Linked DNA regions of Lonchura striata. The protein of the gene in region 1 interacts with the protein of each later gene in a biochemical or structural test. Links are inferred from orthologs where the notes say so. Each region holds a gene or a part of one and is shown in the gene's direction. Other genes may lie near its edges.

Region 1 (16,027 bases):
GTTAAAACCAAGGAAGGGGAGTTAAAGGAAAATGGAAGTAGTTAAAAGATGAGATAAAACTGAGAGGGGAAAAAAGCCCTGTCTTCTGACTGGAGCCTCTGACCTGCCAGCCTGCTCCATTTCAAACCTCTGCCCTCTTGCCAGATGTGGAATAGACCTCTGAGATTAATGAAGAAGTATTAGCAAATAAGCACGTGTTTTCCTGTTGCTGTGCAAGAGCTGAGAGGTGTCTCAAGAGTAAAGGAACAAATCACTGATGTGAACAGGGAGGCCCTGCACCTCCTCTGTGGTTCTGGTGTGTCAGCACAAACACCTGCTAGAGCAAGAAGAGGCTGGTGAAGCTTCAGATCCTGAGGGACATGGGTTTCCTGTGAGGAGAAAGGGATGTGCACTTCAGGAAGCACTCCTCGAGAAAGTAATGAGGGCTAAGGTTGCACTTGGAGATTAAAAACTTAAAAAGATTTAAGGAAAACAAAAAGTCATTGGCTGTCTCTTGTAAACAGGCAGGAAGGCAGTGAGAACACGGCAAGGTTGGCTGGCAAGTAAACAACTGGGAAAAAGTGACCTCTGGATAGAGCTGAATGGGATTTTATCAGCCTTAATGAGAGAGATTAGGTTGTGCAGCTTGCCTATCAGGCAGCTCTGCTCAGGGCCTGGAACAATGTGAAATAAATGCAGACTAACCTGAACAGCTGAGTCTGCATCTCCACAAAATTTAAAGAGCTCCAGTCTTGCCCACAGGCAAATTCCTGGTGGTGTGGGAGAGGGCTGTGGCTGCGTGTGGGGATTTCTAGTTACAGTGACCAGGCCTTTGGTGGAGCTGGCTTTTTGGGTTTGTTGGTTTTCCCCTTTAGCTCTGCAGCCTTGAAGGTTGTCCTTGTGTCCTGTTCTCCATCCAAAAAGTCATTGCTATGTCTGAACCTCAAATTTCCAGGGCTCTGTAAGCAGAGTAACAGGCACAGCCATCCTGTGCACCTACTTGTGTGTTCTGGCTGTTGGACTCACCTTCTGCCTCTTCCCTCTGCTCAGAAGGTGTCTGGGGAGCTGAACTTCAAGATTCGGGCTGAGTTTGCTCGCCTTCATCAGATCCTGGAGGAAGAGGAGAGAGCTGTGCTGGCAGAACTGGGTGAGAAGGAGGAGCAGACACTGGCTCAGCTGCACAGGCATGTTGGCCAGCTGGAAGAGGGGATGGCAGTGCTGCAGAGGGACATCAAGCATGTCAAGCAGACCCTGAGCAAGATGGAAGATGTGTCACTACTGGAGGTAAGATGCTTTGCTGACTCTGGCAGGAGGCTGAGAGATATTTCAGGATCTCAAACTGGGATGTGGGAGTCTTAAATGAGAGCACCAGGCTGTACCCCATCTCTCATCTGTTCTCCCTGCCATCCCTCTGGATTATCTACCCAATCCCTTGGATCTGGAGACTTTAGCCACAAGAGATACAGTGACATCAGTTGTAGTGGGTCTTGGGAGCCTTCCTCATTCTCCATCCAAGTGCCCAAGCAGTTTTCCCCAGGCTGCAGTTCCTGGTAGCTTGGTTTCCTCTCTCTGTGCTGTGTGGCATCAGGAAGTGGACAAGGAATTTATTTGTGCAGCTGCATGAATTAGAGTGCCTGCTAATTCTCTCTGCTTCTCACTGCAGGTGGAGAGCCTGGATATCAGGTATGTGTCTGGCATGAAAGAAGCTGATTTGCTTTTCAGGAGCTTATCTTAGTCTCTGGCTGGGACCACATGGGAGACACACTTTATCTCAAGTTTTAAAAGCATCACAAATTGCTCAGGAAGTTGCTGGTGCTGTGCAAGGTGGAGGCTGGTCCCCAGCATACACTGGATGCTCTTCCCAGGGAGCATCCCATGTGTTGACATGGCTGGAAGAGTGGGTAGAGGAGACAGTGGTTTGGGATGGGTGCAAAAGCCATGCATGCTGCAGGAGGGAACAGACTTTGGGTGCTTCATCTTCTCCCTGCCCCTCCTCAGCTTCTTACTACTCATGAGGCTGCAGAAGAGACCCTGAAGTGCAGGTTTGTCTGAAGCTGGGAGTAGCTGAGGGCCAGAACTGCCACAGGGATGTGTGTCCTGTCCCCTCCCTCCTGATTCCACAGGCCCAGCCTATCTGGCCATGCAGGAATCCTGTTGGGTGTGCTGGGTGTGGGTTTGCCAGGAGTCACTGCTCCACAAGCAGTGCTGCTGCCTCTCTCTTGGGCACCTCTGTCCTGAGCCACTCACTGCACTGGGGACAAGGCTGCATCAGGCAGAGCAAGCAGAGACATTTGTGTCCTGTCTTTACCAAATCTGTCACGTGCAGCACTGTCCTGCAGCCCTGCCTGTGCTTTTCATGCCTGCACTGGCAGTGGCTCAGCAGAGGGATTGACCCTGCCTGCCTCTCTCCACCCCAGGCCCTCGGTGCGTGTGGAGACCCAGCCTGCCCTGGACCTGCAGCACTACAGGGACAGCCACAGTGGTCCCTTGCAGTACATCTTCTGGAGGCAGATGCTGCGCTCCATCTGCCCTGGTGAGCACATGGCTGTGAGGGATGGGTGTGGTGGGGCAGGGGTGCTCTGCAGAGGGAGCGTACAGCTGGTAAAACATCATGCTTGATGTTTCCGCAGCTCCTGCCCCACTCACCTTTGACCCTGAGTCAGCCCACCCCAACCTGGTCCTCTCCAGGGATCTGACAGCAGTGACAGAGAGGAATCGAGCCCAGCCCGTGCCCATCAGCCCTCGGCGCTTCCGCCAGTGCGTCAACGTCCTGGGCTCGCAGGCCTTCGACAGCGGCCGGCACTACTGGGAGGTCTGGGTGGGCAGCAAAACCAAGTGGGACCTGGGGGTGGCTGCTGAGGCTGTGGACCGGGCAGCCAAGGTCAAGCTGTGCCCAGAGAACGGCTACTGGACGCTGCGCCTGCGGAACAGGACAGAGTACTGGGCCACTGCCAGCCCCTGGGTGCGCCTGGCTCCCCGCCAGCCCCCTCGGAAAGTGGGCGTCTTCCTGGACTGCCAGGAGGGCTCCGTCAGCTTCTTTGATGCTGGGGACATGTCCCACCTCTTCACCTTCCACCAGGTCTCTGCAGAGAGATACTGCCCCTTCTTCAGCACCTGCTTCAGTGACGGGAGGGACAATGTGGAGCCCATGCGCCTCTGTCACCTGGCCCTGTGAGGGACCAGGGTGTGCTGGAGACCCCGGCCTGGCTCCTGTCCGGGACTGCACTCGAGGCCAGTTCTGAACACACAAGCCTGAGCGGTGTTGGAGGAGCTGTTTTGGTTTCAGTTTTGGGAGGAAGGAGGGGATGAGTCTCTTCCCAGGTCCTGTCTGCCCTTCCTTCCCTGTGCCATGGCTGCGGTTGCCACAAGGCACTGACAGGGGTTCCTGGCACCTCTAGCAGAGCAACCTGCCTTCCCTGAGCGCAGCAGAGTGCACTAACAGCAGCCACGGGGCTGCAGGGGAGGGGGCTGGGAGTTGCTGGCACCTCCTGTCTCTCTGTGCTCCCACCCGTGACCCCCGTGGAGCAGGGCAGCGGTCCCGGGGCACCATCGGGTGCCTCAGCCCCACGTCCCGGCCATGGCATCCCCAGCGGGAAGAGCTTCCCGGGGCTGGGCTGCGGGCCGGCAGCAGAGGGAGCCTGGTGCGCGCCTCGCTTGCTATTAAAGCTCATTAGAAATTCAGTGCTGCCTGCTCGGGGCTTGTGTCCTGGGGGTTCTGCTGCTCTGGGGTGTGGCACAACCCGGGGGCACCAAGCAGTCCCCCAGAGCCCTGCTCATCTCGCAGTGGATTTTCACCATTTTAAGATTTCACCATGTCTGGCCTGGCTGGCTCTTAAGGATCTGTACATGTGAAAAAATGCCAAGTCCCAATTCTTTCCAAATTCGGCAAGAATGTGGCTCTTTTCCTGTCAGCCAACTGTGGCCCTGCTGGAAGTGCTGCACCTGCAGGAGGGCAGGCGGGGTCCCTGGGGGACAAGTCAAGGGGGTTTGGCTGCTGTGGTTTGTGACCAGGGGGTGCTGAAGTGTCTGCCTCATGAGTCAGCAGAGCTGCTGGGATGGCTCCAAGCCTGGCTGATGGAAGTGGTGGGTGGGAGGGAGGATGGCAGTGTCTGGGGCGGGTGGAAATGTCATGTTTTTCCCACCCAAATCCATTCCAAGCTCAAAGCAGAGGCCAAAGCTCCCCAGTACTGCACAGTCCCCAGTGCTGGCTGGAGCCAGACACCTCCAGCAGAGGCTCAGCTTTCTGCAGCATGGCTGGGGCTGGGTGTGAGGCTTTCCAGCTCCCACAGCTGGGCACAGGACACTAGCCGAAGCAAGGCCTTCACTGGCCACCTGCCTGCCCAGTGGGGATGGCACAGGGGCCCTGTTCCCCCGTGGTGCCACAAGGGCCATGGCCTCTCCTGCACACCCCTACTGCAGTGTGCCAGGGCTGAGGGTGCCTAAAGCCTGTGCCAGGGCAGCAGAGGAAGCCAGAGGCAAGGATGTCCCATGCAGGGTTCAGGCAGATGTGTCCCAGAAGCACTGAGGACAGCCCAGGGCTGCTCCCACTGCCTGGGAAGTCTCTGCTCTGTGCAGCCTTGCTCGGGGTTGGGTGTGGGGGGCATGCTGAGGGTTTGTGCTCCCTCCTGGCCCTGGGCTGGACTTTAGCCAGTGAGTGCTGAGCCCATAAACTGGACTCAGCCTCTTCTCCCAGCCCTCATTTCCTCTTGCTGCCCCACAGCCTCAGCTGCAATAAGAGTGGAGAAGACAGAGCTGTTGGCTTGGAAATGCTGTGAGCAGGGCTGTGGTACCCCCTGCGAGAGCGCCTCTGGAAAGGCGAGGCTGGTTTGGTCACAGCAGGGAGTTAACACTGGGGAAAGCTGAAACCCATCAGCTCCCCAGCCCACCCCAAACTGCAGCCAGGCCCGGCTGGGCAGCACAGCAGTGTCCCCGAGGTGTGAGGGGACACGGATCCGCCGGGCAGCGGCAGGGTGAGCACAGCCAGGCTTTGCTGTCTGCCAGCTCCCACTGCCCAGCTGCTGTGTGCCCTGTGCCACGTGGGCTGGTGTGATGGCACAGGCTGCCAGCGTGTGCCACTGCCTCCCACACCCTCCCCGAGCTGGAGAGCAGCCAAACCTGCTTGTCCCAAATGTTCCTGAGGGAGCACGTCCTTTCTTCTCCTGCTGGGCTGTGCGTGGTGGCCGTGGCAGAGCCACATTTTGGGGTATAATGTCCTCGCCTGGCCCTGCTGGCAGGACAGGGCTGGAGAGGCAGAGCAGCTCCTACATAGAGGGGAAAATGCTGCTCTGGACTGCCATGCATGCAGTGTTAGCCCAGTAAGGAAATGCAGTCTAGATGCTGCCTGAAAAACACATTTTTCTGACAAACCAGAGCGCCGTGGAGCAGGAATTATAAGCATGAATGCAGAATGCTACCTGAGCTTGGCCTGGGTTCATGCAGAAGGGGATAGGGATGGGAGAGTGGAATGATGGGATTAAAGCACCTCTCACCCCAGCATCCAGACTCTGCACCTGCCAGGACTGGCTCTCGCCATCTTCTCCCAGGTCCAGCCTGTACTCCTCTTGTGGGTTACCTCATTGTTTTGTCCCTTCATGTTCCCACCCCAGTGTCCCTTTCCCCAAGTTATGCTAAGGCTGGGCAGTGTCCAGCAGCTCCTGCCTTGGCAGCCTTCTGTGATCTGTGTATGTCTTTATCCAGTGCTTTGGGGAAGCCTTTGCTTCCTCGGATCCCCCCACGTGCTGGAATGGGGACAAGATTTTAAAACAAGATCCTTTTGTTTCCCAGGGCCGCAACAATGGAAAGGTCCCATCGGTCCCACAGTCGCCCTGCGTTTGTGATGGAAAATTCCCCGCCCGGCGGGGCGAGCCGTGCCGGTGTCCTGCCATTACTGCCATTAGATGGCAGCGTGGACGGGCTGGTCCTGCCGCCGCCTCACTGCGCCGGGGGAGGATGCCAAAATCCCTTGACTTTTGGGGTGTCTGTCCCTTCAGCCCCGGGTCAGACCCTCTGTTCCTCTCGCACTCGGATTCTCCAGGCACTCTGACTGTGCGCTTCGGCCAGCAGTTCGGTGGTGCCATGTGAATCGTTCCCCTGTCACTGTCCACCCCCAGCACCTCACCGCTCCCCTCTCAAGGACACTGACCCCGATGCTGTCCCCAGCGCGGGGACACTGCGTGGCTGCACCGTCTCTGATCACAGCCCCGTCACCGGGGAGGGGTCTGATCCTGTAACTTCAGCTCTTCACTTAGTGCTGGGCAGTGCCACCCCTTTGTGACATTCCAGCTCTCCCTTTTCATGGCAAGTTTTGGAAGTCTCTCTTCAAACTGTAGCGGCTTGGACACCCACTTGGGGTGAAGGGACATGGCCACTTTCTGCTCTGCTGAGACGCAGGAGGGAGGTGATCCAAGATGAGTGTGCTGAAGAGTGATGGAGTTTGCACTCTGGGCTTAAAACTCACTAATCAGGATGAGGAGAGTCGGGTAAAATAAATGCTATGGCTTAGAGTCCCTCTGAGGGTTGCAGGAGAGGGACAGGGTGATTTCTTCTGTGGGTTTGGTAACGTGAGCAGTTGAGTGCACCAGAAGTTTTCCTGCCTTTTTGAAGCCATGAGCACATGGCTTTCATTCAGGCTCTTTCTTCACTGCCTACAAGTGAGCCTAATTAATAATCCTGTGGGGCGCAGAGCGGGGCCGCGTTCATTTATCCGTCCAGCGCTCGCTGGGCGCACGGGCAGCCGGCCAGGGCCGTGCCGGCTGTGCCACCGCGCTCCCAGCGCTCTGCCATCGCCTCCGTCTGTGGCGCGTTCGCAGCCAGTTCGCTCCGAGCCAGAGCCGCTGCGGCTGGCAGCGGCAGCGCCCTGGGGGCAGCGCCGCTCGCTTGGCGTGTGCCTGCCGGAGATCCGTGCAGAGCAGTGCTGCTGGCGCTGTGCACGCATGGACGGCGTGAGCGGGGGACCCTACTGCAGCCCCGCTGAATGAGGGTGCGAGTGTGAGCACACCCAAGTGCGTGCGTGTCTCTGTGTGCCTCAGGGAGTGCGGGAGGGGGGGGGGGTTCAAGGGGGGTGTGCAGGACTGTGTGCGTGGGTGTGTGCGTACAGGTGTGAGGTGTGGAGCTGAGGGGGTGCGCAGGCATGCAGGGGTGTGTGCAGGCAGGTGTGTTCCATCGCGTGAGGTGCGTGTGCGCAGTTGTGGAGAGCGTGTTTGTGTGCATTCCCCCGCTCCGAGAGGCCGCGAGTGTGCACTCAGGCACAGACAAGAAACAGGCGATGTACGGGCAGTCTCTCACAAGTGCGGGGGTGCACACAGGTGTGAAAACGCACGCAGGTGTGGGGGTGCGCATGTACCCATGGGTCAGGGATGATGCAGAGCCACGCACATGGATGGGGAACACTCTTGCCCCCCTGACGCAGGGGATGCAGACCCACACACACAGGTGGAGACACCCAGGTGCGAAGGGATGCGCGCACCCCGCTAGTGCGGGGAGCGCGGATTCCCCGTCGGTGCCCGGAGCTGCAGGTGCGCTCCCCCCAGCCCCCTCTGCTCCCCGCCCGCCCCTCCCCGTCCCGCCCCGCCCGCCCGGCGCCCCGAGGCTCGGCGGAGGGCGGCGGGCGGCCCGGGCGGGCGGAGGAAAAGGAAGCGGCCCCGGTGCTCCCCGCCCGCCGCCGCCGCGCGTCGCCGCAGCTGGGGCGCGGCGGGAGCAGAGCTCGGGCGCGGGGCGCTCGCACCGCTCCGCATCGCACGGACCTGCCGGCAGCCCCGGAGATGAGGAGAGTTTGCACGCTGCCCCTCTGGCTCTGGCTCGGCATTGTCTCGGAGGCAGGTGAGCTGCCGGGGCTGCGGGCTGCCCTGCCCGCTCTGATGCCCGCTCCGCACCTGCGGGCGCGCTGGGGACGGGGCCGCGCCGGCGGGACGGGACGGGACGGGACGGGACGGGACGGGACGGGACTCGGCGCCTCCGCCCGCGTGTCCCCCAGACCCGCAGGGACCCGCACTTCCCGCAGCGTCCCTCACCCAGGACGGGGATGTGCCGTGCCTGGCGCTGCCCGTCCCGGGCTCCCATCCCCGGCGGAGACCGGCGCTCCCGGTCCCGGCGACCCCAATCCCCGACGGGGACCGGCTCAGTCCGCCCTGGGGTGCCCCGTCTCAGGCCGGCCCTGCCCGTCCCATCCCCGGCCCGGACGCGCCGCGGTGCTCGCTCGGGTGTCCCCGACGGCGGTGACAGCGTACCCGCAGTGACGGGACGGGACGGGCGGACCTGCCGCGGTCCCCTGGGGCCCGGGGCCGTGGGGAGCCCCCGCCGTGCTGGTGCCGCGGGTGTCTCGCTGCGAGCGGGGAGAAGCCTCACGGGACCCCCGCGGGAGGGATGCTGCTGCGCGGGGACGCGCCCGGCTGGAGGCCCGTCCCGGCTGTGTTTATTTATTTTTTCACGCACAGTCATTAATTTGTGTGTGCCGGGGAGGGAGGCGCGAGGAGGCGGGGGTCCGTGCAAGGCTGTCCAGCCTGCCTGTCCCAGCTCTGGTCTGCCTCGGAAGTCACCCGAGGCAGATCCCAGTTAAATGCTTTCCCTGCAGAGCCACGGCGGAGATGGGGCTGCAAGCCCTTCTAGCAAACAGAGCCCATGAGACAGGGCAGAGCTGGGTGGGCACTGCCAGGGCAGTGGGGACAGGACACCCCACCAGATATCCCTAGAGGAGTTCTTTCTCACACAAGTAAAGCATTTATAGCCCAGATCAGAGCAAGACTGAAAGTTAATAATGGTGGAAGCTTGCAATGTGGGGATTAATTTTGGCAGCATAAATAGAATTTGCTGTAGCATCAGCTCAATGACTCGCTATCACCAGTGGCATTTGCTGCTATCGTTGAAGTGAGCTCATGGGAGAGCTGCAGGTGTGGCATGAATAGCATCACCAGCAGTGTCACTGTCAACCTGCTCTGCCCAAAAAGCTGCTGATGTCTCTGGTGTCATGGGGCCAAAGGACACAATGGGTGGCTGGAGCTCAGGGGATGCTCAAGGAAGCTGGGCAGAAAGGAACCTGCTGCTGGTGGTATTGCAGCAGGAGCAACTGTGCAAAGCTCTCTTGTTAGCAATTTGTAAAGCACAGTGTAGCTGCTCCTGGGTTCTTTCATCTCCCGGAGGTGCAGGAACAGTGCCTGGGAGGCTCTGGCCAGTGCAGCTGTGTGGCCTCGTCGGCACAGGGCTGAGCAGAGCTTTGAAGCTCTTGGTGCTGCCTGATTAGTGCAGCGATGAAGGGCGATGTGGAGCTCAACTGGCGGATGGTACCATGGGGATTTGCTTCCCCTCCTTCCATTCTATCAATAAGGACAATTTGTCAGTGCGTAAAGGACCCACAGATTTCTCATTAACCATAATCCCAATGGGCTGCAAATATTTGCTCCCCTTGGAAGCAGAGATGTGTGTGTGAGACTGTTCCACCTGTGAAGGATGAAATAATCATCTCAGGATCATGAAAGGTCTGTTCTGGTGCCTGTTTAAATGGGCCAGTATTAGAGACTGCTGTGTGTAAGAGCACAAAGCTCTTACACATCCCAGCTCCATGATGCTCCCAGGATGAAATGGAGCTGGGGAGCTGCCCTGTGCAGGCAGTGAGATGGGGGGAACAGGCACAGGTTCAGCATTCCAGATCATCTTGGCCTCTCAGGGTAACCCTTTCTGGATGGTGATGAGACCATCCCTGAGCCACCATCTTCTGGACACAGAGCCCTGCTGAGCCCCCCACGGCCAAACAATCCCGCTGGGGACACTGGCTAGCCCCTTCCAAGGGCGTATGGCCATTGTGTGAGGGAAGGGCTCGTGCTTGTGTAGGACCTGAGCCGATTGCCTTGGCTGCTGCTGCTGCTCCCCTCTCGATCACACAGAGCTCCGGGCTGGGCGCTCGGACAGCCCCGCGCTGACCGTGCCAGCAGCAACAGTTGCCTGTGCAGCTGGGATTTGAAGCAGTTGCTTTATTGCAAGTAATAAACATGGGCCATTTCAGCAACACCCTTTCATTCAACAGCCCTGACTGCACAGCAACCCCACCAGGCTCAACCACAGCGCTGAGCCAGGGCCTCCCAGGGGAGTGGGTGTTTGCAGCCTGTGGTCCCTGGGGGCTGCCAGGGAGGGGACAGCCAGAGCTCCTGTGCCCTGCTGTCTGCTTAAGGATGATTTCAGATGAGTGAGCTGCAACTACCGCCCTGGGATTTGGCTTGGGCACGTGAGACCGTAGCTCACTGCCTGCACAAACACCCACCAAGGCATCACTGAGCTCAAACTGATGTCTGGTCAGAAGAACACTCCTCCAGCAGCACAATGCCCCCGGCCAGTGCAGGCAGGGTGGACAGGGCTTCCTCTGGTGTATCCCATTCCACTCTGCTGCCTCTCTCCCATGGGCTCGCTCCATGCAGGATCGCTATCCCCAGGGTTTCTCTTGGCCCCGCGTTGTTGCGGTGTTTTCCGGGGCAGGCGTGGGAAGGGCAGGTGCTCCCAGCCAGCCAGGAGGGAACAGGCTGTTCCCAGCATCCCGAGGCAGTTCCTGGAGAAAGAAGGGGAGAGCGGGATCCCACGGGAACGGCAGCAGGAGGGAGGGAACCGTGGCCAGGGAGCAGTTTCTCCAAAACCATAGGGGACATCCACCACACTCAGGAGGTTGCCTTGCAGAGCAGGAGGGGGTTCTCGGTGGGTCCCCAGGTCTGTCCAGCTCTCAGCAGCTTTGGGGAGCAAGGTGAGCCCTGGGGATAGCACCTTTCTCACCCACTTTCTCTTCAACCACTCCAGCTGGCACAGCAGAGGTGACTTTGCATTCAGCCTGCTGGACTGAAACAGCCCCAAAAAAATGGGTACAGGGCAGGAGACTCCTCAATCCCAGTTTGGGGGGCTGTGCATTTAAACCAGGTTGGTGGGGGGGAAGGCTGCAACAAGCTGGGGGTGATGGGGAGGTCCTGCAGGTGCAGGGAGAAGCAGAAAGCCCTGTGATGGCCAAAGCCCACAGGCTCCACTGCCCAGGGAAGGTGGGGTGGTTTCTGTGTGAGGAATGACTAAAGCTGCAGGGCTCTTCCACTGGGATAGACAGACTGGGGCACAGTGCCTGAGGGCTGCAAAATCAGAGCTCGCCTGGAGAAGGCAGCTCCTGGTGGATTCCCGTGTTGGGAGCATGGTGGGAGGCTGGTGGCTTGTTGCACAATGCTGAGCAGCAGTGGAGCTCACCTTCACAGGGCCTTGTGGGTGTGTTTGCCTGGGTCCATGGGCAGTTGTGCATGGGTTTGAAAGGAGAAAATCCACAGGTAGTTAGTTCAAGCTGAAAGCCCCCTTTTCCCACCTTAGGCTGGTAGCCAGATGTGCCCAGTGCTGTGTTTTGCCTTGACCTGTCCCAGCTTTCCCTGCAGCTCCTGCAAATCTCCAGCTGGGCGAGGGGCAGCAGCCAGGTACATGTCCCACTCCTGCTGTGTACTGTGGAGAGATCATGACCTCCTGGTGCATGCCACGGTTTTCCGGGGAGACCAGAGCTGAGCCTCGCCTTGGGCCAGAGCTTTTGTCCTTCATTAGGAAAAGAAATACTGCCGCAGCTGCACTGGCATCTAGTGACTGGTTAAATGAATTCCAGGGGTTTTATTGCCTCTGGCTATCCCAGACCTTTGTTTCTTATTTCACGTTGTTAAAAGAGGGGGTTAGCCAGGTCCCAGCGGGGCTTTTTCTCTTTGGTCAGAATAGTTCTGATGTTTTCGGCACAGCATTATTGCCCATCTGCGGTGCCTCATTGTTAAGGCAGAATAGTGGAAGCGGAGGTGGCCTGTGGTCAAGTCGGCGAGGAGGCACAATCCCTGAGCCCAGTGTGGCTGCTCCTTGTGTCGAGGAAATCACTCCATCTCTAGGTGCAAGTTCAGCAGAAGGAAGGTGAAAAACCTGGCCCTGCAGCAGCTGGTGCTGAAACTCCCACTAAGTTTTATAAGCTGAGGATATTAAGTGGGGAGTCTTGGAGTCTCTCCTGGAGTCATTTCCCTGCTGAGGTAGCAGAAACAGGTTTCAGCCAGTGACTTGTATTTCACCTTACAAGTTCTCCCACGAGTGAATTGTTTTTCTTGCTGTGTTTCTGCCCCCTCCTTCCAGGGCGAGGATCCCTCCCGCAGCCTCTGCGGCCAAACCTGGAGGTGCCGTGGGACGGACGTCATGTGCTAATGAGGGAGGATCGGTTTAGGGGGTCAGGAAAAGGCTCTCTCTGGGCAAACAAGGAAGACGTGGTGATGGGGGAAGGCAAACTTAAGTGCTACAGTCTCCTGTATCTAAGCACACAGTAACTGGGCAGCTGCTGCTCCCCTACTCGGGTTCTAGGCAATGAAAGACAACAAGGACCCCAGGGCTGTTCACAGGAAGGACCAGAAGAAAGGAACAAATCCTGGTCCTGATCCCTGATGGGCACACCTCTGGAATGGGCAGAGAGAAAAATTAGATGAAATTTTACCTGGCAGCAGCCAGCCCAGGGCCATTCCTGTCAGAGCCTGGAAAACCCCTGCTCTGTTTCAGAAGAATTAATGAAAGAATAAGCTTGACTCTGCTCCTGGTGTAGATGCATGTAAAGAGGGAAGCGATGGAGCAGCTCACTGATGTTTCTGGCACCCATTGTCTCTATGTGAGGAGTAGCTGCCCACCCATGTGCAGGTGTGGAGGGGTTAAGCATTCTCCTGGCTGTGAAAATGCCAGCCAGTGCACCAAGGCTGCCAGCCGTGGTCTGCGGTGCCAGCAACGGTGACACAGCGCCCAGGCTCTGTCCCACCCTGGCCACACCACCCTGCCTGGCGAGACCACCTGCTCAGCAGGCTCTGGGGGCCAGGGTGTCCCCCAGGGAAGGGTTAAGCAAAGAGGAGCAGTGCCAATGCCAGGCTGGGTGTCCAGGTTCTCCCTTGGCGGAGGTCAGTGGTGGTTCATGGGAAAGGAAAAATTGGCAGCTGGGCCGGATGTCCCTGCATTTCCCCTCTTCCTGCAGCCGCCTGAACGATGTTCCTTATTTAGCTTTCCTGACGGACAGGAGGAATCTGATGGCGGAAACTGTCACTGCCTGATAACAGTTCAGGGACCCCTTTATGATGGGCGGCACGGCAGGGAACAGGGCAGCGCTGCCCTGGCTGGGAGGGGACAGCCAGGCTGGGAGGGGACAGCCAGGGCTGCCCTTTGCTCCGGGTTCTCTGGACGGCCAGGCAGGGTGGGAAGGGCGCTCGCAGCCTTTCCCTTTATGCTGTTCTGTGTACAAACCCTCTCAGTGCTACTAAAAAGACTCTCAAGACCAAGAAGTGATGGTGTGTGTCTGTACATCTGTAATATTGACTATTTTTCCTTCTTTTTGGTGAGGCATCTGAGCTGGTGGAAAAGGGCCATGGATGGGCAGAGGGGAGGCATGGAGCAAAGCCACCCTGCCAAAGTCTGAGACCAGGTACTTTGTACTCACTGGGAATGAGGATGTGAAGGGGAGCCAGGTCTGGGATGCTCCAGCAGGAGCTGGGAGCGATGCCCAGTGCCACAAGTTGAGTACACACATCAGATCAGATGGGAGCAGATCCCATACAAGTGTGCTGCATAAGCAGATGAACACAGCAAAGGAGATGTTCCTCCATGTTTTGTCCCCAGCTTTTTTTCCATGAAAGGTGGCATCTTTTAGTGTCTGAGCCATTCTATCATATGTGCCCATGGTGACCAGCCTTAAAAATCACAAAAAGTCCTGGAACACAGCTTGTATGTCAATGTATCCATTGATTTTTGCCTTGCATCTGTTGGGGCCACCAGGCTGCTGCCATACCAGTAACAGCATTGTTTCCATGGCAATTAATGTACTTTGAAAGGGCAGAATGTACAGCAAGACTGTATTTACTCAAAAGCAAGCCCTAATCACAGCAGCCCTTGCCACTGGCCAGGGCATTGCACTCTCAGTCTGTGGAATGCTCAGGTTGGCATTGCTGTGTTTTGCATTGGGATGCAGGATGTGGTGAGCTGCTTCAGCCAAGGCTGGATGGCACAGGGCTCCCACAGACCTGTGCAAAGGCTGTGCCACAGCCTTGCATCTTGAGAACACCATTCCTCTGCTGCTTAGAGTTCTGTTTCCCTAGGGTGGTTAGAACTGCACACTCCAAAGTGAGCCTCTGTTTCAGTCTTAGCTGAGGAATGCTAAAAATCTCACTGCAAGATGCAAAACCTCAGCAGGAACTCATAGGGGTTAGGTCCATTCTCTCTGAGCCATGTGCTGTCTGACCAGGTCACCCACATGAGCATGCATGAGTTGCAAGGCTGAGGTTTAGATCATCAAACCATGGTGGTCCCTCAGGACCAAATGCTTCTCGCTTCAGCTGAGTTCAAATCCCTTTTGTGGTTGCTTTCTGTCACCAAGCAGCACGGGCAGGTGGTGCAAAGGGAATTGCTGTATCTGACTGTGTGTGTTCCTGTGCTGCTCTGTGTCACAGGTGTGTGCAAGGCTGGTGGACATGGCAAGGAAGCAGGAGCTCCTGCTCCAAACCCCAGTGCACATTCACATGGTCATGCTGAGGATGAGATACCCTTGAGGAATGACAGGGATTTGCATCCTCCTGGCTGTTTTGAAGCAGAAAAAGCAGCAAAACTCATTTTGCAAGTTATTTGTTTAAAGTTATATTTTTTTTTATGGTGTCACTTTCTAGCATGTGTCATTGCAGCGAGATGAGTTAACTTCCTGCTGCACTTTCCTGGGCAGGAGTCATGTCACCCATTCCCTCACATAAAAGTTTGGTGTAAAGCCCAAGGCATTTGCTCTATGCTCAGCAGGGGGGAGAAAGGCTTTTTTGGAGATGCTCCAGCCTGTCCTCAAGGAGGCGTTGAAGGAACTGGGGAGGTGATGGTAGAGCCAGCTCCTAGCCTGCACGGTGTCTGCACACATCCATGCTCCCAAGACTGGCTCTGTGCCTCAGCCAGGTTGTATTTAACCCCACAGTGTCCTCCTCTTCCTCACTGGCCAGCCCAGCTCCCTCCACCTCAGCAGCTCACAGCTACATGAGGGGACTGGCATGGTCTGGCTGAGGGTAAAATGAAAGAGCAACATCAAAACAACTGACAGCCCCAGCCTTGGGAGACGAGGCCAGGAGGAGACTGGGAGGCAATGGGATCATGTGGAGTGAGCAGTAGACAAAGGAAGGAAGTTTTTATTACTGGACCAAATCCTGAACTCCTTCAGTTGTATTTAGGCCAATGTCTCAGTGACTTCAGTGGAGCTTGGTCTGAGTAAAGAGAGAAGGAAGAGCTTCAGAATCTGGCCCCTGAGTAATTGTGTCACATGGGACGTTTATGAAGAATTTGCAAGCTTACGGTGGCTTTGCTGAGCAGCCAGTAGTAGCCAGTGAGCAGTGCCCCTGGCAGCTTCCCCTGGTCACTGTCCCCTTCCTCTCTGGGTTCTTCCCCACCCTGCAACAGGTTCTCCATGCCAGCTGCTGGCAGGGCAATTTGAGACTTGGCAAACACCCTGAGCTGGGCAGTGGCTCCACAGATTTATCAAGGTCTGTCTGCACCATCACAAGACTCACGAGACCCATGGCGGGTTTTGGGGTCCGCCATCATCCTTCTGAATTACAGAGGCACTTGAGCACTACATACAGCAGGGAAATCTGTAAAAGGTTTACTGGTTTTATTTATTCCAAAATAAAAAAGCGCAGGGCCATGTAGCAGAGCCTGGAAATTCCTCCACTAATTTCCCAAATTGATGAGGGCACCATGTATGTGTCTGCACAGACACACGTGTGTGCTGACAGTGAGGTTTGGCTCCAGGCTTAGCTCTCCATTTGTGACTTGTTTTCCCCATTTCTGAAGTACTGGTGTCCACTGACATGGATGTTAGATGTAGTGACCTAAAAAAATAAATACTGACATAAGTGTGGGTCAAGCCAGCAGTTTCCATAATGACGGTAAATCTTGACATTTACTGAGGCAGGAATGCTGGGCACAAATGGTGGATTATACTCAGATTTGGAAACTGCCAGCTCAGAGTGATGGCAGCAAGCGAAATGGCACCCAGCAGAGGTGACAGCATCCAGTGCCCACAGAA
Region 2 (15,494 bases), on another chromosome or scaffold:
GATAGCAATAGGATGTAATAGAACCAGGAAATGGTGGGTTTCTTGTAAAAACACAGAACTGCTTTTGTGTTTTAAGTGCCAAAAAATTCTCCTATTAAAGCTAGAGATTAACTTTGCAATATACACACTTTGAAGCATACATTTTCTTATCTAAACATTCAACAGACATCTCATCTATTCTCCCCTGCTGATGTCAGGGAGCTGATTTGTCCTTTTATTGGCCTAGTATCTGAGAGGGTCAAAGTAGAAAAACAAAATGTAAATAATACCCATTTCATACTCAAACTCTAAATTGCACCAGAAGTGTTTTATTTTCATATTACTGGTTGTTACCCTAAAATGTCCTCACATATGTGTAAATCCTGAAATTAACTTTCAGTGCTTTGCAATAGCTGTGTGCACAGTTTTGGGATGTTCGCTGCAAGGAGAATTATGATAAACCCTCTACTGGTTCTCTGACCTTCTGCTATGTGTGTACATATTGCTCCAAGGATGTCACTTCAGGATGCTACAGAATTAAGTAGGGAAATCACCTGTAGAAAATAAAGGTATAAATCCCTTCCTTACCACCTCCTTGCTGTCCTACTTAGCACAATGTTGTTTCAGTTATCCTTGGACATGTAAAAAAATTTTCTGCCTCTGAATGTTTTAACTTCTACTTCTCTGCCTGATCACTTAGTAGCTTTTATTTGCAAAAATAGCTATATGACTGGGCAAAGGCCGTTGTTTCTATGACGTTTTAATGCTGAAAGTTCCTACAAAAAGCTGCTTTGCGTTCAATGAAGACAGAAAGAGGCAGGGAGAGTGAATATAGGTATCTTTAAGCTGTCTTGTGTGAGGAGTTTCTTGCTGGTCTTGAGAGGCAGGATGTTTTCTCAGCATCTTCTAGCTGTACCCATGGGTCAAGAGTCTGGGGCTCTGGTATGGAAACCATTTCCATGTTTCTTCTTATTTCATGGCCACATCTCCCTGGGAAGAACTAGGAAGTAAAAAAAATCTGACCCCTGGAACTTGGCCAGGCACTTGAACTTGAGGTATTCCGTGTTGCCTTTAACCAATAACTTTTTTTAAAGTAGATTGGATATGATTATAAAGTCCAGAAAAAGGCCAGAAAGCTAATTGTGAGTAGATGTGACTGTGAGACTATTCATGTTCTGCTCTGATAGACAGAACAGAGTTCTGTTCTATCAGAAGATACTTATACCTATGGTTCCACCAGCTGCTTATGGGAGCCTGTGGCAAATTCTAGCCTGGTGTGTGAAGTACTAAGATTAAACTAACCTTACATTTTCCACTCCTGTCACAAAGTCTGCCTTACCTCAAGGAGTGTTGCGATGAGATGGGTGGAGCTCTCCAGAAGCACTTGAAGGTGATTGTGTGGTAAAGACTGCTTCAGAAAAATGTTCTTGCACAAATTTGCTTTAACTCTCTTGTCCCATAACACATAGTTGCTTCTTGACCTCTGAGAATGCAACAACCACTAGAATAAATGAAGATTTTCTCATGTAAAAGATGTTTCCTTGATGTCTTGTAGCTGCTCTTCTGGCACCATCCACTCTACGATCACTTGAATTAGATGGCTGTGAGACTCTGCTGGATGAGAAGAAAGTAAATGTCTGAAGTACAAGCTGTATTGTTGCTCTGCTATGTGCACTTGCTCAAGACATCACTAGAGCCTGCAAGGTTAAGGATGTTGATATCACCTGCAGTCACATCTTTCTCTTGAGAAATTCTGGGCTTGATGTGCACAGTGCAGCAAATGTCTGTTCAGTTACACAAGTTGGTGCAAGCTGTGCATACCTCAATTCCCAGAGTAATTTAGCAACCGTGCCACATATGCTGGAGAAAATGAGAACATATTATTATTCTCTACATTACAAGAACCCGTGATTTCAACTGCTTTGCTTGCAACATCTTCAGGATTCAGTAGTCTGAATACTCACTGTGTTGTGCACTTACTCAGACTGAATATAGCCATTGAACTGGATGTTGAATCCATCTTCTTGGTAACAGCTTCCTGCCTTGGCTTTCTGAACTGCTTCAAACCTGACTTGAACAAGTAGTGATCCTCAGATGCACCTGAACACCAGCCACTGCTTCACAGTCAGTCTGGAGGGGCAGGGGAAGATGTGAAGGATATCATCCAGTCAGAGTTCCTCCTCTCCTTCCTCCTCTCTTTTCTGTTTCACCAATCCCCTGCCTCCCCACCTTTCCCTTTCCCTTTCTTCTACCTAACTGCAAGACCTGTTTTATCTTTATGTTCAGCTTCTCCCACTTTTATGTAGAAAGAAATGAGAACTTATAAAATAACAAGTGAAATAAAGGCTCCTGAAGGCTACTACACACCTTTGTAATTAAAGTTTGATTATTGTTTCAGTTGCGCCCTCATTAACAGGTATGTAAACACAGATGGATATGAAGACAAGCAGACACAGAGCTCCCATTATTGAAGATAAATATGAATAACAGGAATCCAGAGAGAGGTCTTGCTCCCTGGATCAGGTATCTCTGTGTAGGTTAGACTTAGAAGTTGAGTTACCCAAACAGACACAAAAGAAGCACTGAAACAAAAGAAGCACAAATTTCTTCGTACTTGATATAAAGCTGTTGCTCAGCACAGCACGCATCCCCAGAGAGTCTTTCTGTCTTTCCATGCATTAGATGTCACAAATGTGAACTAGTGAAAGGTAACAAGGCAGCTGGGCTCTCCATGAGGTTGAGGCAGAGCCTGTTCAAAACCAGAGCAGCTACACGGTGTTTGCATCTCTCAAAGGCTCAACAAAAAGTGTTTGTTTGTGATTTGTATCTGCCTTTTGCAGGGGAGGACTGAGCCAGGGGATGCTGTGGAGAGCTGGGAGTATGCCAGCCCTTCAGCCAGGGCTGTGCCTGTAGCCTGTGCAGACATTCCCAGGCGAACTTTCAGCCAGCTAGATGAAGCTGTGGATAGCGGTTGAGCCACTGCAGCCTGGGGCGCAGCAGAGGCACCCGGTGGGATTTCCCCTCTTCCCTGGCCGGTTTTGCATCCTGCTGTGAGCTCCAGGTTTGCTGCAGCAAGCAGACAATTAAATGATCTAATTTAAGGGCAGCTAAAGAATAACCTGAGGAGATGAAGCACTGTTGGGGCTGGTGAGGGGGATGGCTCTGGATCTGGCTCTCTGGTGTTGTCCCCATCACTCCGCTAGCCTGGCTTTGGCAGAATCTTCTGGTGCTCTGAATTTGAGATTCTGTGCATGGGATTTTTCTTTTTTCCCCCTCAATTCTATCAATCCAGCTTAGTATTAGTGTGATGTTTCAAGAATTCTGCTATTTCACTGAAATTTATGATGCCAGTATCAATTTTAATAAATGTTGCTTTATTTCAAAAGAAGATTTTAATGTAATGATTACTTGATAATTAGTTTAATAATGTGTGCTAAGTGACCGGATTGCCATATAACTGCTATGTCATGAGTGTTTATTAAATGTAAATTAGATCCTTGTTTGCAATATTTTATAAACTCTCTCAGTTTTATTTTTTTTTCTATGTAGTTTTCAAGAAGACAAGTCCCCCTGTGTATAGATTAGTTAGAGGGAATGGGCAGACCTACTTATAGAATCATCTTGAAAATACTTAATAACCTTCATTGGGAATTGTGTTATTCTGGACATTGTGCCATACAGTTTTCAAGTCTGAAGTAGCTGGTGAAACAATACTTTCTTTGAAGTAAAGATTATGAACTTCCTTTCTTTAGCTCCAATTTCAACTTTACAAACTGATCAATTTAATTGGAGTTTATTTAGGGCATATCCTCACAAACCTTCCTTGATCTAAATAGTCCTATTGATTTATGGATTACTCTTGTGTTAAAAGCCTGAAATATCTTCCTTTGGTGCTTTGTTACATTTTTCCAAATGAAGATATTTTTTTTTGTTTGTTTGTTTAAGGTGTTCCCTTTTAATTTTTTCTGGCTAATAATGACACTAGTACGAGCCTTTCTGCAGGTCTAAGTTATTTTCAGATTACTGAAGGAATTTACTGTCTCATCTGAAAAGATTTCAGCTTGAAGAACATGAGTGGTTCAGCACTGTTAGGAAATTCTTCTGTTCCTTGGGTGTGCACACATGCAAGAAATGTATGAGTTAAATATGGTGCTGTTTTTTAGTTTAAGTCATCTGTACTGGCCTTATTCCTCTTTATGTGCCATGAAGGCCAACTATAGAGCCCCCAATGCATCATGGTGAGGAGTGCTAGTAAATATAGTGCACGTGGTCTGCCTATCCTATCATAAAAGTACCAAGAAATGATGATTAATCCATTCATTTACCAAGTTCTGGATCATTTATATGTTCTCTTCCATCACAAAAACAGACAGTAGGAATCAGTGATTCCAGGTTTCTGTGCAATGTGAGACTATTACTTTGGAAGAAAGACTCATAATTCAACTGTTATTGAAAAAAAATCATATATAATGCCTGTAGATGAATAGTTTTAAAGTTTTAATATGTATTGTTCATCCATTTCAGATATCAGTGTTGATGAACATTAGAAACAGATTTAACTAAACAAAATTTTAATCTCTTCTTGTAAAGAGCTGACTCATTGCCAAAATATTAATGTATTAGCTGCTTACCCAAAGGTGGCATAAATGCTTGAAATTTCAGTTCATTGTGCAGTATTTAGCATTGATGATGTCTGTGGAGCTGATTATTCAGGTACAAAAGTAATTTAAATAGTCATATAAATTTTATTTAAGCTTCTTTTTAGACAGTGCTAGATTTCAAAAGTACAAACCCCAAACCCTGCACAAATCTCAGCAGGTGGTTCTACAACAGCTGACTGAGATAAAAGATGAAACTAGAGTGTGTGTATTGTTAACTTATGTTCATAAATTAAATGAAAACAGAAGATTCTGGCCGGACAACAAGTCTGTTCACTGCTGTTGCAGGCAGTCTGCAATATAATCTCATCATACTTCTGAGATTCGAGCTCCAACACAAAAGTATTTAAAGTGTTCTCAAACACTAGGCAGGAAAAATCATAAGAAAGCTGTGTCAGGACCAGAGCTGAGGTGGTGCTGAAGAGAGAACCAATTCTTATCTGGAATTAAGGAGAGAAACAAGAACTATAGGGAATGGGATGAGCACTGTGATACAGATGGTGAAAAGAGTTTCCCAGAAATTCATTACGAGTTTCTCTGCTGTCCTACCAGCTGGTTTCTCTTGCTTTGCCTTTGCTTTCACTAACAGCTTTGAGCCAGCTTTAGAGTCCTCTGCAGTTAACAAAAGGGTTTTTCTTTATTTGCTAGTCTTTGTGTCTGAGTCCTAAGGGAGGGACTAGGTACATTTTGTGTTCTGCCTGCAGCATCTAACTTACAAACGGGTTTGATTCAGTGCCTGAGGGTCAGTTCAGTCTTCCTGCCAAAAAGCCCCCTGAAGCCAGAGGTGGGTGACCTTTTCTGATGAATGGTTTGCTTTGAGAAAGATACAGGCCTGGTCTTTCCAAATGTATTTGTAATTCAGAGGTGAATTTGGTAAGTAACAGCGATGAAATACAACATACAGAAAATACTACAGAGGTGTTTCTCTCCAACATTTCCAAACCAAATAGCTTTAATTTTCTAATCCTAGATTGCTTAGAGTCCCTGAAGGGCAGTCTGTGGGCATTTGGCACCAGCCCTACCAGGGAACAGAGCAGCTCATCCCTGAACAGACAGGCTGTGTAAGGATCCCACTCCCAGGCTTTAAGGTGTGCAGGCACATATTGCTTCCTGACTCTCTCGTGGTTCCAGGTCTGTGCTCCAGGTGATCCCATAAGTGAGAGGTGAGTATGGCCAGACACTCCCTCCAGTTAATGCAGGTCAATTGAGAGTTATTTTCATGTAGTCCTGAGCCCACAGAGGTTATTTTTGGTTTGATCCCTTACTCGGAAGCTGTGCATCCGCAGCAGAGGCATAGCCATTCCTTTTAGCAGGCCTTCAGCTCCTGCAAGGGGATGGATATTAATATCAGAAGCCAACCAGAGACATTAAATGAGGTCAAGGTCACCCTACATAAGTGTTAGATAACACAGTAATTTAAAATGATGAATGAAATAGTTTAAAGAATGTTAATTATAACCTACAGTACAGACATGGGATGACCCTTGTAGTGTGGGCTGTGCAAAACTGTGTGAATGTCTCTGGCACTGGATGCAGGGAGGTATGAGGGGGAGCAGCAGGTACACTGACAAAGCAGCTTTTTCACTCTCGTTTTGAAGAGGTGAAATTCCTGCTGTCCTCGTACTAACCAGTGTGGGGTGGTGGAGGAGGAAGAAAAAAGAAAAAAAAAAATAAATAGATTGCTTTCACAAATCAAGTGGGAAAATACAAAGCTAAAAAATTATAGTGTTACATATATTTTTTTAAAACCTAATGACAATTAACAGACAACAACTTGAAAGACTGGATTAAAATAATTTTCTTGCTAAGATCCATTTGTGGTCAATACTTAAGAAGAAATTATTTAACCTAATGGTAGGTAGAGAAGTGTAACTTGTATTTAAGACAGCACTTGCTTGGACATCAGAGGTAGGAAACCAGGACTCTGAAGTATTATGTACTTGACTGTTTTTAACAGCTGTGGAGTCTGATTCTGCAAACACTAAAACCTGTGAGAGTGGAACTGTTCTCCTGAATACAATATATATGAGTACAGCAATATGGATTTAACATATATAAGTATTGGAGTCTTTGTCTCTGCTATAATTTTAAATTATTGATCTTTGTTTTTAAATCTCTGTTTTAAACTACAGGAATATATAAAGAAAATACATACTTATCTTGGAGCAGAAATGCTCGTTGAGTTTTGTTGCAATAAAAAGAGATTTTGTCCTTTTATAGTCCAGCTTCATGAACTTTCTTCTGAAAAATAAAAATCTTGTTTGTTGTCAGAAATAGTTCTTAACTTTGCTTTTAAAATTTTATTCAGAAGCCCCTGTGACACATGAGATAGAACACATGAAAGTCTTTCTTTTTTCCTTTCCCTCCCTCTTTTTTTTTTTTTCTTTCAGTGCAGTAACATAAAATATGTGTGTGGTGTAAGAACGCGTGCTAAAGTTTCATGTTTCAGGTAATCTCCTTTAAAATAATGGGAGTCTAGATTGCATCAGTTAGTTTAAAAACTGCTATGCTATTGGTAGGAAGAAAATGGGATTTGAGCCAAAACTTGCCTGTGTTACTGCCAAAGTCTGTATCAGATTTAAGACACATGCTTCTGCAAGCTTCCACGAAGGTTGTGAAAAAAGTTTTCATACAGAGTTGGATTACAGCTCTCGGCTCAAAACACTGGCCATTACACTCCCATCTTAAAAGCCTGCTGTAACACCGAGCACAGAATCGAGCAGCTTTCCTTCATTTTCTGGACCACAGATGGATTTTGAATGTCTCCTTGTGTCTTGATGGAAGATATATTAACTTCATTAACTGGAATCCATACCTGATTGCTTGTGAGTGTGTATGTGTACACATACAGATATATATCTATTTAAAACCTTATCATGATTTTATTTCAAGTGTATCTAAGATCTGCTCTAAGAAATTACATTCTCTAGAGGAGCTTACAATTGTTTTGAGTAGCAAAGAGACAGATATTTACTCTCAGATGTTGGAATCCTTTGTGAGTTTATGAGAGAAATTCTGGAAGCCTTGCTGTGTTGGTGGTAGAGAAATGCCTTTTGAAACAGACACATCCAGCTGTACAACGACTGCGTAGTAACCTGTGGATTTTAAACATCAGAATGTACAAACCGTGGGCAACTGTGAATATCTTCATAATTTCTTTTCTACATCTGCTGCAAGGATCTGACTATGAGAACGGCTCTGTGAAGGTAAGTGAACTTTATTTACTTTGATTCTTAATAATACAAATTCCAGAATTAGCTCCATTTAATGTGCAAGGTAGTAGGTTTCTTGTTTTTGTAATGAATCGTTATTTTTTTGTTTGGTGATGGTTTAGTTGCAGAGGTGTTTAGCAGCCATAGAGGAAAATGAATCTACAAGGAATTTAAATCCATATTCTCTGTTTAATATTTTATTACTTCTTTTACTAGTTATTAAGTACTTGTTGTATACTTTGTTCTTGAGTTAAAATTTTAGTTTCAGTCATTGAAAATAAAAGAAAAATCTGAAAAAGAAGCATGAGTCAGAGTATTTTGAATATTTGGTAAATTCACTTTTTTTTATTTCAGGTATTTATAATTGCAGGAATTAGTATGCTGGCATTGAAATTTTCCCTGTAAAAACACGTGTTCATCAGTTGTTCACTTGTTTGGCAGATATCAGAGGAACATTTCTCTTTTCCTTCATTAGAAAAAGTTATATAGCATTTTGAAATAAACAGCAACTAGTAATAATAGAGCACATTGCCTGGAAATTAACTTTTCTTCTGAATATAGTACATGAAACAAAATTTAAGCCTCACCATGAGAGTAGGATTTTTTGGCTTTGAGACAATGTGAGAACATCCAGGGCAATCATTTAGAAAAATCAGAACAAAAACCGGAACAAGTTTCTACACGTGCAGTCTGTCCAAGATTGATTAATTCAATGTGTGGTCCAGAACAAATTATTTGTTTTTCACTGGCAGAGCAAAACAAGCTAATATTATTTTTTTCCACTTCAGAAAACCTCCTACTTGTAAGCAATGACCACACACCAGTCTGTGAGCCTTCTGCATGCTGACCTGTGCTTTAGGAAAGAAATGCTCAGTTGTGTGCCTAATTGCAGACTGCTGTTGCCAGCCCAGTAAGTCAGCAGTGGTGAGCAGTGTGTGCCTCAGGATGACTGATGCCTGATGACTGCTCACAAGCTTTTAATTTACAACCTCAGCAATCAATTCTTTGAAGGCATTAGGACCAGAGTAATAAGCCTTGTTTAATACATTAACTTTGTGCACTGCATGACAAATCACTGGTTTTGTACTTGCAGGAATCACTTCATTTAAACCAGAGCATGCTTTCTAATACAGAATAGTAACCATTTCATAATTGGCAGGGGTGATAATTCTAGCCACATGTGGGACGCAAGTTTATTCAGCGCAGAAGTAAAACCACTAGAAAGCCCTGTAATTGTAAACTTTGAATCCATACTCACTTTGCCTAGAGTAAATGCAAGAGCTCTCCTTGCTAGCTTATATTAGCTTATATTCATTCACTGTGATAAGATTGTCCATCCATATAATCACATGCAATTGTGATTATTTTCACTGAAATTTGGTTACCACTGTCAAGAGGCCAGCTTAGCCCCAGGCTACTGTTCTTGAAACAACTCACGGAGAGTTTCCAAGACTATCTTAAAGGAATCTTATAGGTCACACGCAAAAAGGTATCACACTTAAATGCTGTATTTCACTTGCTGATTGCCAAAAGGAAAAGATTGCTTGTTCTGGCTCTTTTGGTATAGATGGAGGCTTTTGGCTAATCTGTTGTTTTTCTTTTAATGTCTTACATAGAGTGTTAGCTCTCTGGGTTGTTTTCTCCTGTATGACCTGTGGGCTTCTGTATGTGTACACATGTGGAAATACACCACAAAACGTGCTTCATTTTACAGCGTTGGATGGCACACAGGGTTATGATTATTCTTACCATTTTCCCCTCAAATTGAATTTGCAGTACACAGAAATTATGTATTGCATTCACTTACCCTACCTTGTTGTTTTAGAGTTCTTTAAGATCAACAGCAGGACTGCCTGGATAAAACACACAAGGTCAGGATGCAGCTAATACACAACTGATGAGACCTAGGAAGGGTCAAGCACCAGCAACCTGCTCTGCCCCCTGTTATATGAATCCAGGTTAGGTGAGCTCTGCCCAGGACACCTGAAATTTTAAAACTGTTTATGCTTCAAACCATCAGGTGGCCTCAGTGTGGTATCATGCAAGAGTTTCAGGGGGCTAAGTGTTTAAATTCTCTCTTTTTCCCCTTCAAATATCCTGATTTAATCATGCATGAATATTAAAAAGCTTATGTACAAACTGCTGTGATCCAGCATCTCCATGGCAGCTGGCTTTTCCTAACCCTTCAAAAACTTTAAAAACTCCATCCTCTTCTGAGCACATGAATCCCTTTTCCCCACCATGTGCATGTATTCCTCACCTGTCAGAGCTCTTCCTTCCTCTCTCCATTCCCTGTTCTACTCCCAGCACTTGACCTGTGTTCCCTCACCTCCAGGACACAGGGACTCAGTTTTCCAATTGGTCTCTTTTTTGTGCTAGCCAACTGTCACCCTCCTTCCCACTTGCTTCCTCCTGGATGCAGACATCCTTCTTCTGTCACAGACTCTCAGGAGTTTTGTCCATTTTCCTCAGAGACAGCCCTAATGGACACTTTTCCAGTCATTTCTGACCACAGTTTCCCCTTCCCTTCTCCAACCATAGCTCCCTTCTTTGGCCCTGTGGTTTTAACTGCCCAAATTTTCCTTTTCCTGACCCATTTCTTGTTCTGATCTCCAAAGATGTCCTCAGCCTCCTTGGCCAGGCCTTGCCCTGCTCCATGAGTATTCATTTCCTTCCCCTCCCACAGGCAAATCCCTTGGTTTCCTGTCCCTGGATGCCAGACCCCTGTGGCCAGAGGGGCACAAAGGGCAGGTCCTGTGCTCTCAGCCCCACAGGCTGGACCTGCATCCATGGGTGGCCTGCACCCAGCTCCTGCTCTGCTCCCAGATGGACAGCAACCAGCACAGGACCTGACTGCTGCAAAGCCCTGGGAGGGCTGTGTGGGCTTTTATCAAAGATATCAGTGTACACATCTGAGGCAAAAAAAAAAGGCTCCTCAGGTGTCAAAAATTCTCATCTGTGATTCACGGTAGGGAAACAGAAAAAAAAATTTGTGCAGATAAATGATATTTTTTTGCTTTCTCTGTCAAAATGGTTTGACTGCAGTGGAGGATAAAGGAGGAGCTTCATCCTCTGCTGTGATCAAACCATTTTGACAGAGAAAGCAAAAAAATTATTATAATAATTTTGAGGCAGACATCTGGTATGGAAAGTTTCAGCCTGAACAGCGAATGTCTGCCAGTCAGAACACAACAGGAGCACAGGCTCATGGTGGGAAGCAGTGGGCAGCCTCAGACAGGGGCAGCACAGCCACACATGTCCAACAGGACTTGGCTCCAGAGCTGAACTGATGTCAAGGGCAGCCCTTGCCTTCCGGTGGCTTGGTTCAGGATGCCAACCTAATATATAAAGTCCTCATGGAATAATTAGATTTCCACATGAGTTTTCTGAATACTGAGAATTATTTTTAAGGTTTTTTTTTTTTTTAATCAGGAAATGCTTTAAAAATTCCTTATTGAAGTTCTTGTCCCAACAGTCTCTTATGTTTTGGAACCTCTCAGCTAGAGAACCGCAAATTTCACTGTCTCTCTTTCTGTCTCTCCCCCTCAAATTTTTCCTCACCTAGGGCAGCAACAGACATAAAATACTTTTTCCAGAATTTTAAAATTAGATGTGAAGAGCTATGTCCTATATTCATCAGAGCTGAGGCAAATATTTTGCCAAGAAAAGCCAATGATCCATCTGAGCTGCTTCTGCCTTCCAACCCTAAAACTGCCTCTCTAATGAGGCAGCAAGATTTGATCTTGGAGAATTAAAATCTCATTGCTTTTCTTCTCAATCCTTCTGCTTCACATTATTGATAGATTGTTGGGGGACAGGCAAGAGAAAGGAACAACTGGTCACTTCCAAGTTAAACAGACTCACAGCCTTTTCCTTTTGCAGAGGTGTTCTCCCCATGTTGAAACCTCCTTTGGTTTTGTCCAAGAGAAAACTACAGTGGATAGGCCTGAGGAGTCCCTGAACTCTAAAGCTGCTTTCTGATCAAAAGACCAAGGGTCAGGTGGGCTAAGCTAGGAGGTAAACATGCCTGCTGTCTGTTACATGCACTCCTTTCCCACAGCTAAATATTTCCTGCTTCTGCACTAAACATTGTTAAAGCCTCCAGCAGTCGCTCTTGCTCAAACAGATCTTCTTAATCTCCTGCTGTCCCTGTGAGCTGCACAGAGTGGGAAGCCACTTCCCAAACACAGCTGTACATGGTCCTTGTCCACTGGTGAGAGGGAAGCAGCACTTCCCCACTCTCCTGAGGCCCTGGACCACCTAAGTGGAAAGAGCCTTGCCCTTGGGAAGGCATGGAAATACTGGAGAGCCAGCCATGTTTCTTGGTTTCTAGAAAAGTTAAATTCTAAAAATCTTCCATGTCATGGGATCTCTTCCTCAAGTGCAACTCCTAAAGTTCCAGCAAAGTGCTCAACTGCTAGAAAAATCAACTTGAAATGTCACTGGGAACAATTTCTCTGTTTAAACTAGGTTTTTCATCTTCAAATCCAGCTTCCTTTCAAAGTTAGGAAACACTTCTAAACAAATATTATGAGATTGTGGTTTTCAGAACTATTTCATTCTTCCAGTTTCGTCTACTGCTTTTGATTCTCTGTGATTACCATATCTGATAGGCTCAATGAGCCAAAAATGTGTGAAAATATACTTACAGTGTTCCTGCAGAAATGATTGTTTGTGTTTTTCCTTCAGAAGTCAGAAGCTATCAGGGAAGCTATGAGGAAGGCCAATTTGTTCTGACTTATCTGCTACTGTCTTGACAAGGTGCACTGAAGGCAAACAGAACAATCCTGTTTTGTTGTTATGCCACAGAGCGTCTGTCCTTGGCTCTTATCAATTTGGAAAGGCAACTACTAACATGCTGCTACTTTATCAAGAGCAGTTCTTGCTCATGAGAAAGAGCAAAAAAATCCCTCCCAGCTACTGATCCAATCCAGTCCATCCCAGCTAGGATTTTAATGTCTGAGGATAGAGCAGAGCTTGGAAAAGTACACCAGGCTGTGTAGATTATTCAGATGCAGCATTTGACAAATCCACTTATCAGTGGTTTAAAATTAAGCACTAATTAAACTTTGCCATCAGTAGTAGCTCACATCTGAAAGTCTGTGAAACCAAGAGGAGGCAAGAAGGCAGGTTCAGAGGGCAGTGGGCCATCTTTTTTGATAATCAGTGGTCTGAAAGCAACCAAAACAAGCCTTCAGCTCAGGCTCAGCAAATGTTGCTTGTTTCTGTTTTCTGCAGCCTACTGGTACTTTTTTCCCACAGGCATTCGTGTTGTTTATAACCAATGGTGTAGTGGTATCAATGTAGGCTCCCACAGGAGGCAAGCAGAGAAAAGAACTTCCTGAGAACAGGAAAAAAAACCAACCTGGTGCAAACTCTGACTTGTGAGACCTCTGCCATGGTGTCTGCAGTTTTTGTTCTGATCAACACTGCTGCTATTCCAGACAAGGTTTATTTGTGTCTTATCTCCTGGGGACACCATCCTGGCATTTGGGAAAAATAAATAAGGTGCAGTTGTTGTAGGTGATAACTCATTTATTCTAATCCCCACTAAAAAACCCTTGTACCATACTTTTTATAGTTATCACACAGTGGGATCTGTAAGTCTTTTAGGCCTGTCTCTCAAGGCAAGTAAGTCCAGTTACAAAACTGGCTTTTACCCTTTCTTGAACTTGGCTTTGAAACCATATTGCTGAGGGGGAAAAATGACCTGAGCTATGGTGCTGCAGGGAAGTAAATCTGATAGGGTAACTTTCCTACAGAAACACCTATTCCTGAGAAATTCCTTATTCCTCTCAATATGTGCCATTCCCTTATCTACTTCTCCACCTGCTTCCTACCTCCCCAGCATGCTTTGCAAATCATCATACATCTCGCTGGGATTTGAGGAATGCAAACAAAATGCTGAGTGCCCCCACTACAGCTGCACAGACCCACTTTGCCCATGGGAAGACCTAAAAGAATTTTTTTTAACATCCTGGCAGAAGTGTGATATATGGGCTTCTGTACCAGTGAACAGCAGAACAACTGCACCGGCTATTTTAGCTTTCTTTCATTAATGAAAATTCAGCTTCCTTTCTTTATGAAGGACAGCTGAGCATTTTTTTATATTTTTCACCCAAATGTGATTTAAGGCGTGCCACCACTCAGCTGGTGGTAGGACGCCATCTAGGGTTCTTCTGCTTCCACAAGGAGCACAAACAAGGTGGGGTTGGACTGGTGGGATTTGGCAGTCCAGTGTGGGACCACATGAATGGGTTCAGAAAGGGGTGAGCGCCTTCCTCGCCCTCGGGATGCCGGGATGGGTTTGCCTGAGCCGTGCTTTCAGGGGAAGCAGGCGGAGTTGGGTTTGACAATTCATGGTCACTGCCTGCCGTGTGGTCACGGTGAGAGTGCAGCTGGGGAGGGAATTCTATTTGAGTCACGATGAAATGCAAAAAAGTTGCATCATGTTACCATATCGTGTGTCACTTTGCGCACAGAGAATGTGCCACAAAGCCAGGCAAAACTTTTCACTTTAATTAGCAGCATGACTCAGAAACCATGTTAGGATACTTTTCTGAATTGCTAGGGAAATATTACTCAATAAAAACTACAATTCCAGGAAAATGTGTGCGTGTGATTGGGGTAACATAAGTTCATTCATTGTTGGCAATGGCTTTGCTTTGTGAGTGACATTTTGAGACCCAGCTGTCCAATTGGCTAGTCATACCTCCAAAACATTTATTAAAGAGTCTTGGGGAAAACCCAAAAACCAATGAAAGTGCTAACTGAAGGACCCTTCATTAAAAAATATTTTCAAATATTAGAAGACTACATAGTCATCTGATTTCATGCAGGTCTTCTCTATTACTGAGCCATTCCAAACTCACTCTACAAACCTCAGAATGGACAAATATCAAGAGACAGCGACTATAGCCTTGACATGCTCTTTGCAAATGCATTTAATATGCTATTTTTGATGTGTGCATCCTGTCACAGTGTTGGGCCAGCACCTAACCTGGTGTACAGTGAAGTGATAATGTTCTAGCTGAGCTCTGTCTTGAGCAGCACATCTGCCTCAACACATTGCAGCAATACAAGACCATGGGAACAAGGTTATAAGCAGAAGCTCAGAAAATGTACTGTAAGACTCCAAAAGTTGTCAGTAGAATTTAGAATTTAGGATATAGCAGTGAGTTAACACACTGGACATTTATGACAAATCACCTGTGTTTTTTCCATTTATATTTATATTTACCAAATAAATGTTCTTTGTGTGATCACTGTAGGAGGGACCTAAAGGTAAACTCTCAAATGTAGTTGACTAGACCTGAACAGAAAGAAAATCCATACCTTAGCAAAACAACTCTTTTCTTTTATATACCACTCCAGCTTTTCTATTACTACCAGCACACTGATGCACAGTGGATGTTGCTACCTTCAAAATCACAATTGGAGGATGTTTCCTATGAGAGCCAAAAGACCTGTATGTGGGAAGAAGCATTTGTTTAAAGAGAGTTGTAGCTGATACTCAAAATGTTTTCTGCTTCATTTTGGTGTAAAGACCTAACTGGCTAAAAGTATATATTTCTGAGAGGTATTTTGATAAAATATCAGTCTCTGGTTTGGACATAAAAAATTATATTAAATACTCTGACCAAAC

What was found.
Region 2: the proteins of FLT4 (region 1) and VEGFD form a complex in vitro, tested with the Homo sapiens proteins (2 studies listed by BioGRID). The link is inferred for Lonchura striata from reciprocal best matches to the Homo sapiens genes FLT4 and VEGFD.

What each region holds. Positions count from the first base shown.
Region 1 is NC_134617.1:6,553,022-6,569,048, forward strand, and holds the start of FLT4 (vascular endothelial growth factor receptor 3), read left to right. Parts: upstream 1-7,599; 5' UTR 7,600-7,739; coding exon 7,740-7,797; intron 7,798-16,027. Other genes in the region: nuclear factor 7, brain, read left to right, coding at 1,030-1,263, 1,643-1,662, 2,397-2,512, 2,610-3,154. UniProt on the Homo sapiens protein: Tyrosine-protein kinase that acts as a cell-surface receptor for VEGFC and VEGFD, and plays an essential role in adult lymphangiogenesis and in the development of the vascular network and the cardiovascular system during embryonic development.
Region 2 is NC_134604.1:100,085,739-100,101,232, reverse strand, and holds the start of VEGFD (vascular endothelial growth factor D), read left to right. Parts: upstream 1-7,259; 5' UTR 7,260-7,753; coding exon 7,754-7,843; intron 7,844-15,494. UniProt on the Homo sapiens protein: Growth factor active in angiogenesis, lymphangiogenesis and endothelial cell growth, stimulating their proliferation and migration and also has effects on the permeability of blood vessels.